Linked DNA regions of Drosophila melanogaster. The protein of the gene in region 2 interacts with the protein of the main gene of each other region in a pairwise test. Each region holds a gene or a part of one and is shown on either strand. Other genes may lie near its edges.

Region 1 (3,329 bases), on a different chromosome or scaffold from region 2:
ACCGCTTGATTTGCATGCTTAACCTTTAAGCTCGTGCGGCATATTAATCTTATCAGAAACTTGTCAACAGTCAGCTAAAGTCAATCGGATCGAGCCGCATCCCTGCTGACAAGATATATACATTGTTCTCGGACATCGCTTGTAATGTCTCACTCGCCTGGTCGCATATATATCAATATATTGTACCATTGAGGTGAAGATCTGCGAAATAAAGGGATAAGATGGAGATTTTGTTTAAAGCTCTTATTTTTCACATGCCCATGCGAAAAACCTACCTTCTTAGAAGTGGATATGTTGCACAAATAGTTTCCAACAGCTCTTGGCAAGCTTATTTACACTCATGATCAATATATATTTATCTCCACCAAAACACGACTATTTCACAAGACTAGAACAGATTGGTAGGATCTTTTATCATCGCTGACAGAAGGACACATCATAAATGTGAGGAATTTATAATGGGTTTTTGTTGCCCAGTCACGCGATGATCTCCGCTTGATGGCTTAGAAACCGACCATCAGGCAGAGCCAAGATCTATAAAAAAATTCCCAAGAAATACGTATAAGTATGTATGCATGAGCCAAACCCCTGCGGATTCCTTGGATCGCACTCTAATGATTTCCTGCTTAGGATACTGGGGCTCACCCATAAACCCAAATATGCTGCCGCTTCCCAAGAGCTGTCCCCCTGCCGTCCAATGATTAATGCGCCGATCCTTGTCCGATGCCGATGAGGCGAGAATGGGAATTATGTATTTGGGTTAATGTTACACCGCAGAGCAGCACGGCTGGCATTGCTTTAATTTTGTTTTAACACAAAAATTGCCAAGTACCAGTATTTATTTGATGTGCGCAATGCTGCGATCGGAGCTGTGACTTCGCCTTGGACGGCAATTTCCTTCCGTCGTGGTGGAGCCGCGCATCTTGATCGCCGGGTTCTCAGGCTGTGGCCAGAAAACTGGAATCCCAGAGAACCGATACCATTGCCGACGACGATGCCAGTGCTGCTGGCCATTTCAAAATCTAACTGTTAACTGCAAAAGTTGAACGTACTAGCAGCATGCAACATTCAACGGCTGCACCCACGGCATCAGCAGCATTAACGGCAGTACACTTGAAAAAATATGTTTTGAGAAGGAAAATTATTTCCTATGAAAAACTAATAATATATATGTTCTTAAATATAAAAGCTTTTGGAAAATGTAGAAAAAGTTTATGTTGTTTCTAAATACTTTTGGAATTAATTATTTTTCTGGAATACATACACACCGAGCCAAATATTCTTACACAAAAATCGATTAAATTGAAGAACTCATACATCACTTTCCTCAGTGTATGCAACTGCATCTGAGCGGGCAGCGAAACGAGTTGAAAGCCGTTTTCCCTGTTTGCCAGCCAGCTCTTGAAAGTGGTTTGTTGTCTAACTGCGTTAGTTGCTGCTTTAAATTGTGCGCCCAAGCAGCTCCAGCGGCGTTTAATGGCTCCAACTGGCGACCGGAGACCTCGGCTTTAACTGGCCACCCCGCCACCGACTTCTGTTTCTGTTTCTGATTCCGAATCGGATTCTTTTTGTTGCTGCAGCGGGTTCTCAGGCGGCGTTGGCTAAATGTCATAGCGGCGGATGCACCGAGCAGATTAATCATTAATCACATGCCCATCTGAGAGTACGAGACTTCCAATATGCGGAAATTACTGGCAGCTAGCTGTAGTATCCATATGCCCCATTCCCACCATCCCCATCACCTGGTGGCCGATCATTTCCGCCGACGAGTTGGGTTCCTTTATTTTGCCTTTATTTTGACACTGGGCCAGCAACGGCAATTACTGGCGGCGGTGCCACCGAAAACCCTCCTCCCTTCCGCCCTGATTTATGAGTTTTTAATGAGCGGCCACTTTACACGAATTCAAGTTAACAAGTGGAGCCGCGTAAGAGGCCAATATCGCAAGTAGTATCGCCGGCAATCGCGCCTTGACATTCGAGTCGTGCGAAATGTCAGATGAAGATGCACCAATGATACGCTCAATGGGCGTTGGAATGCACAATACCCTAACTAAATCTGAAAGAATATGTCCAGTCAAGGGGAGTGTACAATTTTATTTCCATTTTCTCTAACGCTTTTCAAATTAATCATTTAGGGCTGCCACATCGAAAGGGTTGCCAAAGCATGTCGATACCTACAGTTATCGAAACTGAAAAATAATATCTCGGTGTGTAAACACTTGACAAAACGTGACAATTGGCTACGCGCGTCGAAAAAAGAAAAATAGATTACATTGAAATAAATCCCACGATATCTAAAACCAAACGGAAGATGCCCAGCTCCACTTTGACGTCCTCTACTGCTCTTCCGGTGAAGCAACGAAATGGATTTGATCTTGGACTCGAACCGTTGCGGATCTTAGGAGCCTGCAACTGGTCCGGTAAGCTGACCTTTTTGATGCAGTGGAAGGGTTGCGACGAAGCCGGCCTGGTGCCCGCCGAAGTGCTCAACGTTCGGTGCCCCCAAATGGTCATCTCGTTCTACGAGGAGCGTATTGTGTTCACGGATGAGGGCGATGAAGAAGACTTGGAGTCGGACAATGGGTATGAGACCACTCCGAGTCCCAGGAAGAAACGATCACGAAATGCCTAGTCCATAAAACTATTGTGCACCGAAGACATTGCGGTGCAATGTCAATAAAGAGTATTGACTCTTCTGCCACGAGTTTTTCTTCATTTTCTGGTCGCCGTTGTCGCTGGTGATTGATTATGCATTTTCATGCGAACTGGTTGCTGATGCTGCACTTTGTTGGCATGCGGGCAGGTGAATAAGTGAGTTTAGCTCGGCCCAGCCACGCCCTCCGCCTCCTAGACGCAGCTTGATGTTGGAGACAGGCCGGCGGCATTATCTGCCGGGCGCGAAATTATACGTGTATGTATACACCGAGCGAAAAGTCTGTAGGGGTATTTGAAAGTTCATAAAAAAAACAGTTCATAAATGGTGCACTTGCCTCATTAAACTTTTTCCAGTGCACTTAATGCTGTCAGTGACCTTCACATCGGGGCGTTGGAAAACCTGCAATTAGAAAAGAAGGTTAAGCCGCAGGATCAGACTCAGCTCTCAGATTCCATGTTGCAGGCGCCTCAAGATTCACGCAGTCAACTAATACGTACATAAAAAAAAGGGTTAAATTGGTGGCGCACCTTTCTTGCAGCGACATTTTGACATTGAAAAAGTATAATTAATTGAGGGGCCCACCAGCAGGTGGGCGTGGCCAGGGGCAGATTAAATCGATTTATGCAAGATTTATGGCAAAAGCGCACAAGAAAGAGAAGAAGCGAAATAAAAT
Region 2 (4,890 bases):
TTTATAAAAAGGCGTAGTTTTTTAGAGGGTTTGGCTCTTTTTGGTTGATCACATAACAATTGCATTTGTTGCATGGGGTAAAAATCACTTTCACGATTTTCCGACCATCTCTAGTGGCAGCTGCTCTTTCCAGCTGATGATCTCTGGCATTTTGGATGCCCCAGCAGCAGCAGCAGCAGCAGCAGCAGCAACAACAGCAGCAGCAACAGCAACAGCAGCCGCAGCAGCAACAATTGCTGCGCCCACGCCCGCTTCAGTGGATTTTTGTTGTATCTTTTTGTATGTGGCTTGCAACATGTTTTGTTACTACCGAATGCTGCTTTCACTTCGTCTGGCATTTGATTCGCAATTGTGTTTGCTCTCTGGTTATTATGTCGCAAGCTCCAAGCTGCGAGCTCCAAATGCGAACTCCACCATTTTGGTGTCCACTTAAGCGTCAAATTATGGGAATTTCGCTTGATTGAATTTATCGTTGCATTCGCTGGATTCGTTTGTTTGCTCATTCGTTTACATAAGCCATCTGCACAGCGGGTTGAATAACCTGATCAGAGCATATATGTATGCATATCTATGCTATGTGAATAATTTGCTTCAGTTTGCACTTTCCATATCGGCTAATTGAATATTGATGACACGAATGCAAATGATTGGACCGCCAGTCATTAACTTTGAATTACGCGCCTTGCCCAGTCATCCAATCATCAATCAGCCATTTTATATCCATAGTCCTAAAGTTGTGTCTATAAAGTTGTTACTTTTTTTCATAACTGCCATTTGGTTATGGTTACATGCGTGAAATTTCTCAAGGAAGCATACAATTGAACATTTTTTTGTTTTTTTTTGCTGTTATGTACATGTGAATATGCGAAATTGCTTTGGAGCTAGGTGCTTATTCAATCACTTTTGATTGAATTGGCAGTTATGTGGCAAGATATTTGTATAAGTATAATGACTAGGAAACGTTTAGATTTACTGCAAATCGATATTTCCCAATAAATTTCCAAAGTGATAGTGATTTACGGAAAAAAGTAATTTACTCTCCACTCAGATATGTCTATCTTGTGATTGGTTTTATAATTATATGAATATAAAGCAACTGATTTATTTACTTTACAGTTAATACTAATTCCTTTTGTTTTCTTTTGGCGTCAAATTAAATTTCTGCCTAATGAGAAGCTCTTGTTACGATTTTAGGTAATATATCTAACATGTGAATATCACATTTCGTGTATGCACACACCGCATACAGTGCCTGTCGAAAGTCTGCGATCCCATGGAACTAATAGCGCGTGCAGTCAACAACATTTTGAGGGAAATTACAGCAGGTCCACACGAAGGGGGAACATTTTTCGGCTACCACAGATTATAGCTACATTTTCCGGTAATTATATTTAATTTTGCTTAATATTCGAACTTTTTTTTTTTGGGAGTCCGACTTCAGGCCGTAGCGTGTGCAGTCGAACGATGCGAGCCATTATTAGCCAACTCTATAATTTTTTAAAATTCAGTGCCCCATAGAGCACGATACTAATCTGCCATGGCAACGGATCATTGAAGCACAACGGATTGTACGGATTGGCATATCGGTTGGAATACATATTTCGCGAACTCACCTTGCCCACCTGCTGCAAAGTCTCAAGCATTAGCTCCTTTTCCAGCACCGAGTCGAGGGCCTGGACCTGATCGCACGAGGCCTTGGCCTGCAGGTAGGAGGAGGCCAGGATGAAGGATCCCAGGATGAAGGCTGACACGATGATGGTGAAGGCGGTGATCTTGGCGATTTTCACCGAATTCGCCTGGCGCTTGTAGGCCTAGAATGGTACAGAAAATCACATTAGCTTTGCGGTTTTTTTCAATGAACATACATAGTTTTTATTTGTGTTTGCAATTCAATATTTCTACGTGCTCATTTGCCTATGACCTCTCTGTGTTTCGGTTTTTTTTTTGTTGGGGGTAAGGTAAAAGCGACGACCTTACTCCACAAAATACACCTCAGCATGGTCAAGCGCGTTTTTCGCTTCAAAACGTCGAAGTTTTCGAGAATTTCAAAGAAGTGCTGGGTGCATAATTTGTGATTTTTTGTGAGTGATAATAACTTATTTACATAAAATGTGTAGGGGTTACTTCAGTTGCGACTGTTTTAGGATGGGTCATGCAATTTCATTAATATTTTATTATCAATGGGCTTTTAAGTGCTGTTTCCAGTTGACAGAGGTTGCTCGGCATTAATCATTAAAAAGCCAAACAGTCAGCTATAAGATGAGACCCAAGGTAATGAACAATAAGTGATTGTTAAAGGCATTTAAGTTTTTGGCAAGTGCTTTAATCGAGAAGAAACTGCGCCTTAGATCATCGCAAATATTTGCCTTTGCCAGCAGTGGGAAGCCGTGACTAATGTGCACAACAAATGCTTTCCGCGTAAGGTGCAAAAATTTACAAGTGGATGCAAAAAGCCGCAGCATAGGGAGTATCCACAAAAAAGTTAGGCCAGCCAAATGAATTCCGCATTTGAAGATTTTTTGTTGCGCAAGAGGAAACCCTCCGCAAAATTGAGGAAGTGGCAAGCCCAAGAGAAAAGGCAGTCTCGGGTGTGGGTGCAGTCAGGTGAGGCGGCTTTTTCTCGGTTATATCTATATCTTTTTTTTTTCTGAAATGTGCAATGTTTTTTGTTAACACCTCTACGTGCGTGGCTGGCGTGGCCCCAAAATGCAGTTGCGAAAGTGAATTGTGAGTGAGTGAGTGATCATCATCATCATCAACACCAGGCGAAGTGAAGTGGAAGTGAATGGCTCGCCTGGCACTCTATTTTACTCTACTCTACTCTACTCTACTTGATGAGGTTTTAATTTTTTTGCGTTTTGTGTTTTTTTAAACTTTTTTTGTGAAGATTTTCGTGCAGACAAAAGACTTGAGCGACAAACCTGATGATTAAAGTTAAAAAATCCCATCTGTGGTTGGTTTTGAGTGTTTGGTTCGTTTTTTGTGTGGTGGCGAGTGCGGGGGAATAGAGAAAATTTCATATTGTCAATCACGGTTTCGGGAATGGTTTGGGTTTCGGTTATTCGCATTCACATTTTTCAGCCAAACCAAAGAAAAACGATTTTTGTGGTTTTTGTTTCGAGTGTTGTGCACACACACACACACACACACACATTGCAAGGTAAAAATACATAAAAACAAGAAAAGACAAAAAGTTAATGAGATTGTACTGCAGTTGTGTGTGGGGTCGCTTAATAATACTTAAGGTGAAAACCTAACACATATGGCGCAAAGGTAAACAAATACTGCACAAAAGGGAAAGCTCTTGGCCAAGGGTCGATTGTGAAGGCTAAGACAGAGCTACTGACATATTAGGTAACTCATTGATAGATGAACTCTGTTATAGAAAAGGTCAGACTATTGGCTCTATAAAGTAATGGTTGTTATGCTCACTGTCCCATAATAGAACATCATAATAAAGGTAATTCTAGTTCACTTTTTGCATTCAGTACATATTAATGATAATTACTTTACAGATTTCAGCAGCACTGAGCATTATTCCTAATGGGTTTTTCTAATGGCTCGGTCTGCAGTCATTAAGCGATTAAAATTTAGCAAAAACAGATAATTATACAAATACATTATTTTCATTTTCCATAAACAGGGTATCTTTTAGCTGTTTTTTATTTTCACTAACTGGTGTCTATATGTCAGCCAATCAGGTTTGCCGCTTTTTTGCATTGGGTCAGTGGAAGTGTGCACTGGAATTGAGCCTGTTAGATAACTTTTTGCTTTCACTGTACCGCTGGCAAGGCGATAATGATGGAAGGGGGAAAACCCTCGCGTGAATGGAACCGCACAAATCATTTATGGCTGATGCGGATGCTGACTGTTGAATGCCAAATGCAAAATGTACGGTGCAATTTATGCAAATTTGTATTACAATTTAGCCCACACAACAACACCACTACGCCAGGGGATCTAATAGTTTTATTTTTATATCTATATATATGCTTAATAAATATGGTGTATGGTATGGTTGGGAAAACAAGTTGAACAAGTCAAAGTACTCGGCGGTGGCGCAGTCTATATAGATATGGTATTTGTTTTGGCTTTGCGTTATTAGCGTGTCGTGACTGTGGCATTAGAGCTCTTCGCGATTCGGATTGAGGCGGATTTCTATTTGTCCAACCATATCGGATACACAGATCCATTCACACCTTGCCAAGACAGAAGTATGTATGCAAGTAGGTACGGGTGTATCTTGTATCTTGCAGATACGAACGTTACTGTGGACTATTTCAGGGAAATGTCAAGCCGCTGACAATTGTCGAAACCGATCACGTTGCATGCGATTCCCTCTCGACTGTCAGACGGTAATAATTTTTAAAATTGCACATTAATGGCGGGGCATTTGCAAATTGCTTATGCATCATGCAGTGCAGACTGATTTGGCGAAAATGCAGCTCACGTTTGCAGCTACTTGCAGAAAAAGTCCGCATTGCGCATACGCTCTGTGGTCCGTCGGCGGATGCAATAAGTCAAAGGGTGACCCTGGCATTTTCTAACCCACTTGGCTGCCAACCGACCAATCAACGCTCAACAGGTCAGTTGAACTGCAAAGCTTAGTTGAGCGCAGACTAGATGTTGATCAGAAAATTAAATGATCATTTAAATTAGCTTAATAAACAAGTACATTTTACGCAGAAATACTAATCTATTAATCTAATGAATTTATGATTTATTTTTTCTGTGCAAAATCAACCATCGTATGTATCTGTTTGTCATTAGTTTCGCCACTAGTCACTTGTGTGGCAACTCGAGGCTTCACTGTACTCACCGGTGGCGGTTCGCTGGCGGTGCTGTAGACCTCGCTAGCCGCATAGTCGGGCTTCATTTGCACGGTAGCCA
Region 3 (7,409 bases), 4.7 Mb from region 2:
TAGATTGCAAGATTTTGATTGATTTATGGTTATTCTAGAGATATTTAATTGTTTTTTTTTTTAATTGCCTCTCGTGTTTGAATGCACATGGAATGGGAATTGGGAATCTCTCACGAAATGGAGGAGGTCTTGCCAACTGATTGGGTTCCAGTTGTTTTCATAACCGTATCTGTATCTACGTTGATTCAACGAGCACCGTCTAGTCGAGAGGTTTTTCTTTTATGGCTGTTTTCGAAGCACTTGGCTTTGCAGACGGCTTTCATATGGCGATATCGCCAAGTGTTTGTCCACTGACTAGAGAATGATACACACTACAGTATTCCTCTGGTCGGCCACAATTAGTGAAGCCATAACTCATCGTGGCAAATTGATTAGGCTAATCATTTGGGTCGAGGGTTTTACGAGTAAGCTTGTTATGATCTGATTTTCCGCGACATCGAAGGGGTTTCACGTTCTTTGATAAATGCATTAACTTAAGTCCAAGGCAAACTTTTGATCGATGTCTTTTAGAGCGGCACACGCTCCCCGGGGAGATTATAATTGTGCTAGAGCTTTCACGAGCTACCTCTTGATAGAAGTACTTACGCTTATTCAAATAGAGCGCAGTCCATTGAGTCCATGTCTGTCGGTTTCCCCGAACGTTGTGAAGGTCACGAGGGAAAAACTTACTGAAGAAAAGTTCTAATGAACTCATTTCTGATAAGCCATTATCCATATACCCCAGATACACCCACAAAAACGCATTGGTTTCGACGGTTTTTAAAATTTATGGCAATATCTTTTATTACTATTCTGGCTGCTTTTCTCATTCCTTCTCAACACTTATTGTTCTAAATGTTACATTGATGTGTTTCCCACTTGCTCACTGTTTGTTGCCCCGTTCTTATGCGTAAAACAGATTTAGAATATTGTTTGTGGTACATATTATACTGTTTAATTAGTTTAGCCGCGTGAACAATTTCGTTTGTATAGAACTGCACTTGCCGTATTGCTTATGGTTCGTAGCTACTAGGCTATATGTTTGGATAGTTAAAAACGGACATACACAAGCCTTAAAAATCATTTACTCTTGGTTTTTCTGTTGCTGGACTTTAGTTTAGTAAGTAACTTACAAAAATGAGCCGTAAATTTGTATTTGAGTTTGCCACCTAAACGATTAGTGTAAAATTGAAAACAATTTTAGTTCTTACTGCGGTCCTTTGTGTTCTCGCCTTTGAGTTTTGCTGTGTAGCGTTCTTTCTTAAAAAATATACAATTTATTATTTCTCGAAATAGTTGCTGCTGCCGCTCTTTAAGTTAATCGGGCCACCTCTACTTAGTTACATTTTAGTTTACACACACGCTATGTATCGCTCTATCTCTATATCGCTACGGTATGACACATTTATAACGCCTGGCCAACAACTATTAGAAGTACACAATAATCTTTAATAGTAATCATAATGGTAATTATAGTAATCGTAGGTTTTAACAAACAAATAATAATAATAGAATTTACTTTACAATATTTTGTGGTTGCTGTATAACAGTTGCAATCTACCAGCGATCGGTATCAGTTTTCGATCGTTAATTTATGAGCGTAGTATAACTTTATATATAGCCGAAGGTTTCTCTATATCTTATCGAAAGCTAAGCTGAGTTCTCCTGGTAGAAAAGTGAATTTTCCGCACTTCATCCTCCGCTGTTGCCTAGGCTTAAAGGTATATATATATATATATGTATATATGGTGTGGGGCTGGCTATATATATATCCATCCGTCTTCTCCACTTTGTATATAGGTGTGCTCGATCTCTGATCTCCTCCTCCTCTGCTGTATAAGTAAATAGAAAAATATCTCACCGGATCCTCTTAAGCTCCGCACTGCCCCCTGTAAATTCACTTCTCTCTCCTTTCCAACCGATCGAAGTCTCCTTAGAGCTTCGATTCGCTTGTCTTCTGGGGGAACTGCGGATGTCCCTCTTCCTGTTGCGGACTCGCCAGTGTCTTGATGATCTTGGGCACTATGGTGATCGGCTGATCCTCGTCGTCCTCGGCATCTTCGCCCTGCTCCTCGTCGATGGGTGTGAGCGTTTCCACATGCACAGGAGTCTCCTCCGAGGGACTGCATCTCTTCAAGCAGGGCGCCAGGAAACTGGTTATCGTGGAGATGCCGAACAACGCACCGGCCATGTAAAAGGGCAGGTCGTAGGTGTGCGTCATGTCGTAGATGGCTCCCGCCAAGGGCGTTCCGATCAGGGCGGCAAATCCTCTGAACAGGATCAGCAGTCCGAAGGCATTTGTTAGCTTGTCCAGGCCGAGGAGGTCGACCAGGATAATTGACGTCAGCGAGATGTAGCCCGAGATGGCCAGTCCGAAGAATATGGACATGGTTATGTAGGCCGCGTAGCTGTAGCACAATGGGGTCAAAGTCACGGCTATGGTGGACACCAGCAGGCAGCAGTTGTTGAGCAGTAGCGAGTTCACTTGCGGCAGGTCCGCTACCCAGCCGCAGAAGACACGGCCCACGGTGTTGGTGATGCCAATGATGGACAGAAGCATGGCTGCATCGTTCTTTGGTATGTCGTGTTCCTTGGCCGCATCCACCAGGTAGACGAAGGGCACGTACAGTCCGGCCATGCCAAAAATATTCGAGACTCCGATAAGCATGAAGACGGGATCCTTCAGAAGGCTAACATCCAACATGGTGTTAACCACGGACTTCACGGAATCGGGAATGCCAAGGCAGGGACACAGGTCATACTCCTCGCGATGCTTCTCAGCCTCGGCCAAGGGATCCAATTTAGCCACACTCTGCATGCTCTTCTCGTACTTGGTTAGCGACAGCACCGAATTCCTGTAGTTGGCCAAGGACTTCTGGGACTGATATTGCGGCAGGTTCGTCACGGATCCCGAGTAGAAGATATCCTTGCGGGACATGGGTCGCACCATCCTGCCGCTGCTTCCAGTTTGACTGCCGCCCTGCCGTTGTGAAAGCGACAACTTCGAGGAGGCGAAGTCACCGCCTGCTCCTGCCTCCAAATCTCCGCGAGAAGTGGCCCTGATGGCGGCCAGCGAAGGCTGGAAGCGCTCCGAGGCGGAGGTTTTCCTAACTCGCGTGTTGAATGCCGGCACGGATCCGTTTTTGGGCAAACTCTGATGATCTCCGGCCAGGAAGGCGGGCTGCGATGCGTTCCGGGTCATGGCATCCTGCGAGTGGTACGGACTATTCTCCGACTCCGAGTTCCTGTGAGGACGGCGGCCGACGGCACCTGCGGCGGATCGAGCGGATAACTGGCCATTGCTGTCGCCATTTGGTGGAGATTGCGCGCCGTTCTGTCGATGAACATCCACCACTTTGGACTCCGTGATGGTGGGCAGGGTAGAGACGGGATGCAGACCTCCGCCGCCTGCCTGTTGGGCCAGCAGCTCCAGATTCAAGCTGGAATGCACACCGGGATCCGCATTGAGCGGCATCTTCAGTTTCCGCTCGATGGTTCCATCCGGTAACTGCACCATGAAGTGGGAGCCCGCAAAGGAACCCCTTTCCAGCTGCAGCTGCTTCTCCTCGTACATCCTTTGCATCAAGGGCTTCTGCTTCTTCTTTTTCGGGTAGGTCAGTGGCCGCATCATGGCTCCGAAGATGGCGCAGTTGAGGATCAGGCCAGCAAAGATGAGCAGGGCGTTTTTCCAGCCGTACTCCTCCAGGAGATAGGTGGCCAGCGGGGCAAAGGCGAAGGTGCCAAAGCCAGAGCCGCAGACCGCAATTCCTGTGGCCAGACTCCGCTTGGTTTCAAAGTAATAGCCCACGGCCACTACAGCAGGCAGATAAATCATGCCGAACCCGAATCCCCCCATGAAGCCATAGGTGGCCATCAGCATGCTCACGTTGGTACTGAACGTACTCAAGACGAAGGCTATGCAGGCGATTATGCTCCCGGCTATGCAGACGGCTCGGCATCCGTACTTGTTGGCCAGGGCGGAAACGATAGGTCCGGCGCTGAGGTAGACTCCTGACAGAAGACTGCCCACCCAGGCCACCGTACCCTTGCCCTCGTGGAAGTAGGCCACGAACTCCTCCAGGAAGATGCCGAACGTGTAGGCGATACCGTCCACGATCATGTTGCACATGAAGCTGGCGAAGCAGATGACCCAGCCGTATCCTCCGTCCGGCGGAGGCGGCAGTTCCCCGTACACGCTCTCCTCGTCGTCGTCATCCTCGTCGTTGTCCTGATTGTCCTCGTCCTCCGGACTCTGTTCCGCCGTCAGCCTGGCCGCCTCCTCGCAGGCCAGCTCACTGTCCGTCCGCTCGAATCTCCTCAGCCTGGCGGACGAGGCGGAGTTTCCACCCACGATTCCCGGATTTGAACTGTTTGTATCCACCATGTTGGCGGGACGAAGGGTTAGGGTTCCCGGGCACACACGCGGTTTTGGTGGAGTTGAAAAAGTGGGCTAGAAAGTGTGAAGTGCGAAGGGCGAAGAAGGAGGAGGAACGTCCGCTTGGCGTCGCTGCCCGCGTGTGAATGCCAAATGCGAAGGAGAGAGCCCAAGTTTATCTCTTCACTCTCGCTCTTTGCAAGCTCGCTCTTCGCTGCTCTCCCACTGCAGTTGGCTTTTGTGTGAGTGTGTGTCAATTGTTATTGAGTTTTTGTTTTCGTTTAGTTTGATAAATTCATAAATTCACTAGCGATAAAAGGCGTGGGCTGCCTGTATTTAAGCAAATATTAGACGAGTGCTGCCTTTGGCCTGGTTTATTAATATTTTAGCTCCAGTTGAACAGTTTGACTTTATTTTGTGCTGGTTTCAACTTAACCGTTACTATTTTCCTTGCGGTTTTTGTGCTTTATTTTCGCTTATTTCCGCTTTGTTTGTGTATTTTTAACTTGCACTTGCAGCTGCAGCTGAGGTCACTAGAAAATGTTTGTTTTCCTTAAATTTGCCCGATTTTCGCTGGTTCTTTGCTTTGATTTTTCTTTGACTTTGATTTTGCGTTTCTGTGATTTCCTCAGCTTTTTTGGGGGTGCTGTACGTACGTACGTACGTGTGTACGTCGTAATTTGCGAATGCAATTGTATAATTTTTCGATTTTCAGCTTTGAAATTCGATTGGAGAGCGTGACAGAGTGTCTGAGTTGGTATGGGGTGGGGAGGTGAGGTGGAAAGGAGGAGGAAGAAGAGCGGAGTGTGATCGATAAAAAGCGCACACCACGCACACACTCGGCGGCACACACACACTACTCGATAACTTTTAGCTGCAGTTGCATTTGGGCGACATTTTCATTTGCTTTTTGCGAATCTGGCGAAAAATAACAATCTCCGATTCCGATTTTGAATTCCCCGAGTTTTGTTCTGAACTGCTGCGCCGTCCGCTGCGAAATGAAAATGAAAATTCCTCGTAACGGCAGCAAATAGCGACTGTTATACGATATACAAAGACAAATTCTAAGTTTCTGTAAAAACACTCGCCCTCTCTCCTTCGCTCTGTCGCCCGTTTTGTTGCATTTGAAGTTCAAGCTCACAGAGCGCAAGCTCCACTCGCGCTCTCTCGTCCCCAAAAAACAGCTGATTGAAACAAAAACAAATAGCCGCGAGAGCGGGAGAGTGGCAGTGATAGGGAGAGCCAAGACAAACAACCCCTCTTTGTTTGCCCAAGGGTTGTCTTTTTGTCTTTCTCCCTTCTTTTTATCATCTTTGCTTTTCTTTGATTTGAATTTGAAAAGGTAAAGCCTGAAAAACCGGTAACCGCCTTTTGCCACATGGCCACAGCAATTGTTCAAACTGTTATACTGCACAACGTTCCTAAACCAAAGAGCGCAGAAACTGTTGCTCTTTACTGCCGATTTAGGTTAAAGGTTAACTTTTACTTTTCAGAAGCTACGCAAAATTTTGCAGGACATCTTACACGGAAATTACATTTTCTTAAAGACACTTTTAAAGATTTTGAACATACGGATGTTTTTCCTACTCTTGTAGCGAATGTGTAACAAATGCACTGCTAAATGCTTTTTCAAAATATCAAGGCAAATCACTTCCATAGAGTAGATATTTATATTTTATATTTTATATTTATATTTTATATTTTTAATTATTTTTAATAATAACAGTGCAACTCCCAAACTGTAAGTTTCATTTAGGGAAGTTCTACTGTCATTCTAAGTGCGTGTTCGGGCGAAAGTGTTACTTTTGTCTGCCGCCTTTTAGGCGCCGACCATTGTATAATCCGCGCATTATCTTTACAGTTGGCTCGCCTAAATAATAAAATGCATTCGACACGCAGCTGATAAGAAGGCCTTTTGAGATATTTCTAGTTATTTTGTTTATCAACTTTTTCGTCTGTTGCCAGGTCGTAAAATCGTAAAAATGTGCTTTTTGTCTTCTGGTTGTTTATAACAGTTTTTCGGCTTGGTTAGCACTTTTTCGTCGTATTTGTTGCGGTGAGGCGTCGTAAGAGAATTCTTTCGTTCTCTTTGGCTCTCTCTTTCCTTCGGGGGGATGTGAGCAGTTCTTCTTCTTCTTGGGTGGTTGGTCAATGTCATTCATAAAAATTCCATGTCAAACACACGCTCACATGGAAGGAAAATGAAACCCCTCCGATATTGTGGGTCAACGCCAGAGGGCGCCACTTTGGCTCTTCCCACGATTCTTTCATGTTATTTTTTGTGTTCCGATTCGCTAACTCGATTTGCTGCTCTGTTATTAACGCATTACGTGGGGCCTCAAATGGCCAACGCCTCCAATCTTGGCTAGCAATCTGCGTGTGCCTACAAATCACACTTAACCTAACTGAAATTTAATCCGAAACAGCGGTAATCGCAGCAAAACTGTTATACCGCAATGTGTGCGTTTAGAATTCCTCTTATTAAAATTGCATGTGCCGCAAAATGCAATGCACTCAGGACGTTTGGAAAACTAGGACGTTGCCCGTGACACTCGATATCCAAAGTTTCAGGGGCCAAAATGAGCGGGATGGATTGCTTAGTGGCCGTTTGCACCAGGTGTCTTTGGGAAATTAGCTGGCCCATTTAAAACAGAATTCTGTGCCAAAAAACCAAACGCAAGCGAGTGAAATGTGGGTGAAATAGGGCAATGCACTGAGAAAAACTACTTAAGGTAATATCAAACACAATAGGACTAAACTTAATACTGAGTTTTAATTAAAATATTTCAAGTAAACGTGACAAGTTTGATAAAAGGGACATTTTTCTTTCCACTTTATGAGCGTAAATTGTTTTTCCCACTGTCACAGATGTTCACTTTTTGCAATGAATAAACTATCCTTGAACTATTCATCTTTTGCTGAGGGAACAGAGCTTTGCACAGACAAGAACACAAAAAGATTTTTCTCCAGCTGGCCAAGAGCTTTCCTCAGTTCTTTATTTCCTCGTTGCTGAAAGGTTGAATGAACCAGTGATGACTCTTCAATTATTGTCACC

What was found.
Region 1: the proteins of Msr-110 (region 2) and HP6 interact in a two-hybrid assay, tested with the Drosophila melanogaster proteins (one large-scale study listed by BioGRID).
Region 3: the proteins of Msr-110 (region 2) and CG13907 interact in a two-hybrid assay, tested with the Drosophila melanogaster proteins (one large-scale study listed by BioGRID).

Annotation. Positions count from the first base shown.
Region 1 is NT_033779.5:4,577,086-4,580,414, reverse strand, and holds HP6 (heterochromatin protein 6), read left to right. Parts: upstream 1-2,196; 5' UTR 2,197-2,311; coding exon 2,312-2,632; 3' UTR 2,633-2,696; downstream 2,697-3,329.
Region 2 is NT_037436.4:5,572,019-5,576,908, forward strand, and holds the start of Msr-110 (Msr-110), read right to left. Parts: upstream 3,129-4,890; 5' UTR 3,069-3,128; coding exon 2,922-3,068; intron 1,812-2,921; coding exon 1,614-1,811; intron 1-1,613.
Region 3 is NT_037436.4:876,541-883,949, forward strand, and holds CG13907 (uncharacterized protein), read right to left. Parts: upstream 5,474-7,409; 5' UTR 4,364-5,473; coding exon 1,913-4,363; 3' UTR 751-1,912; downstream 1-750.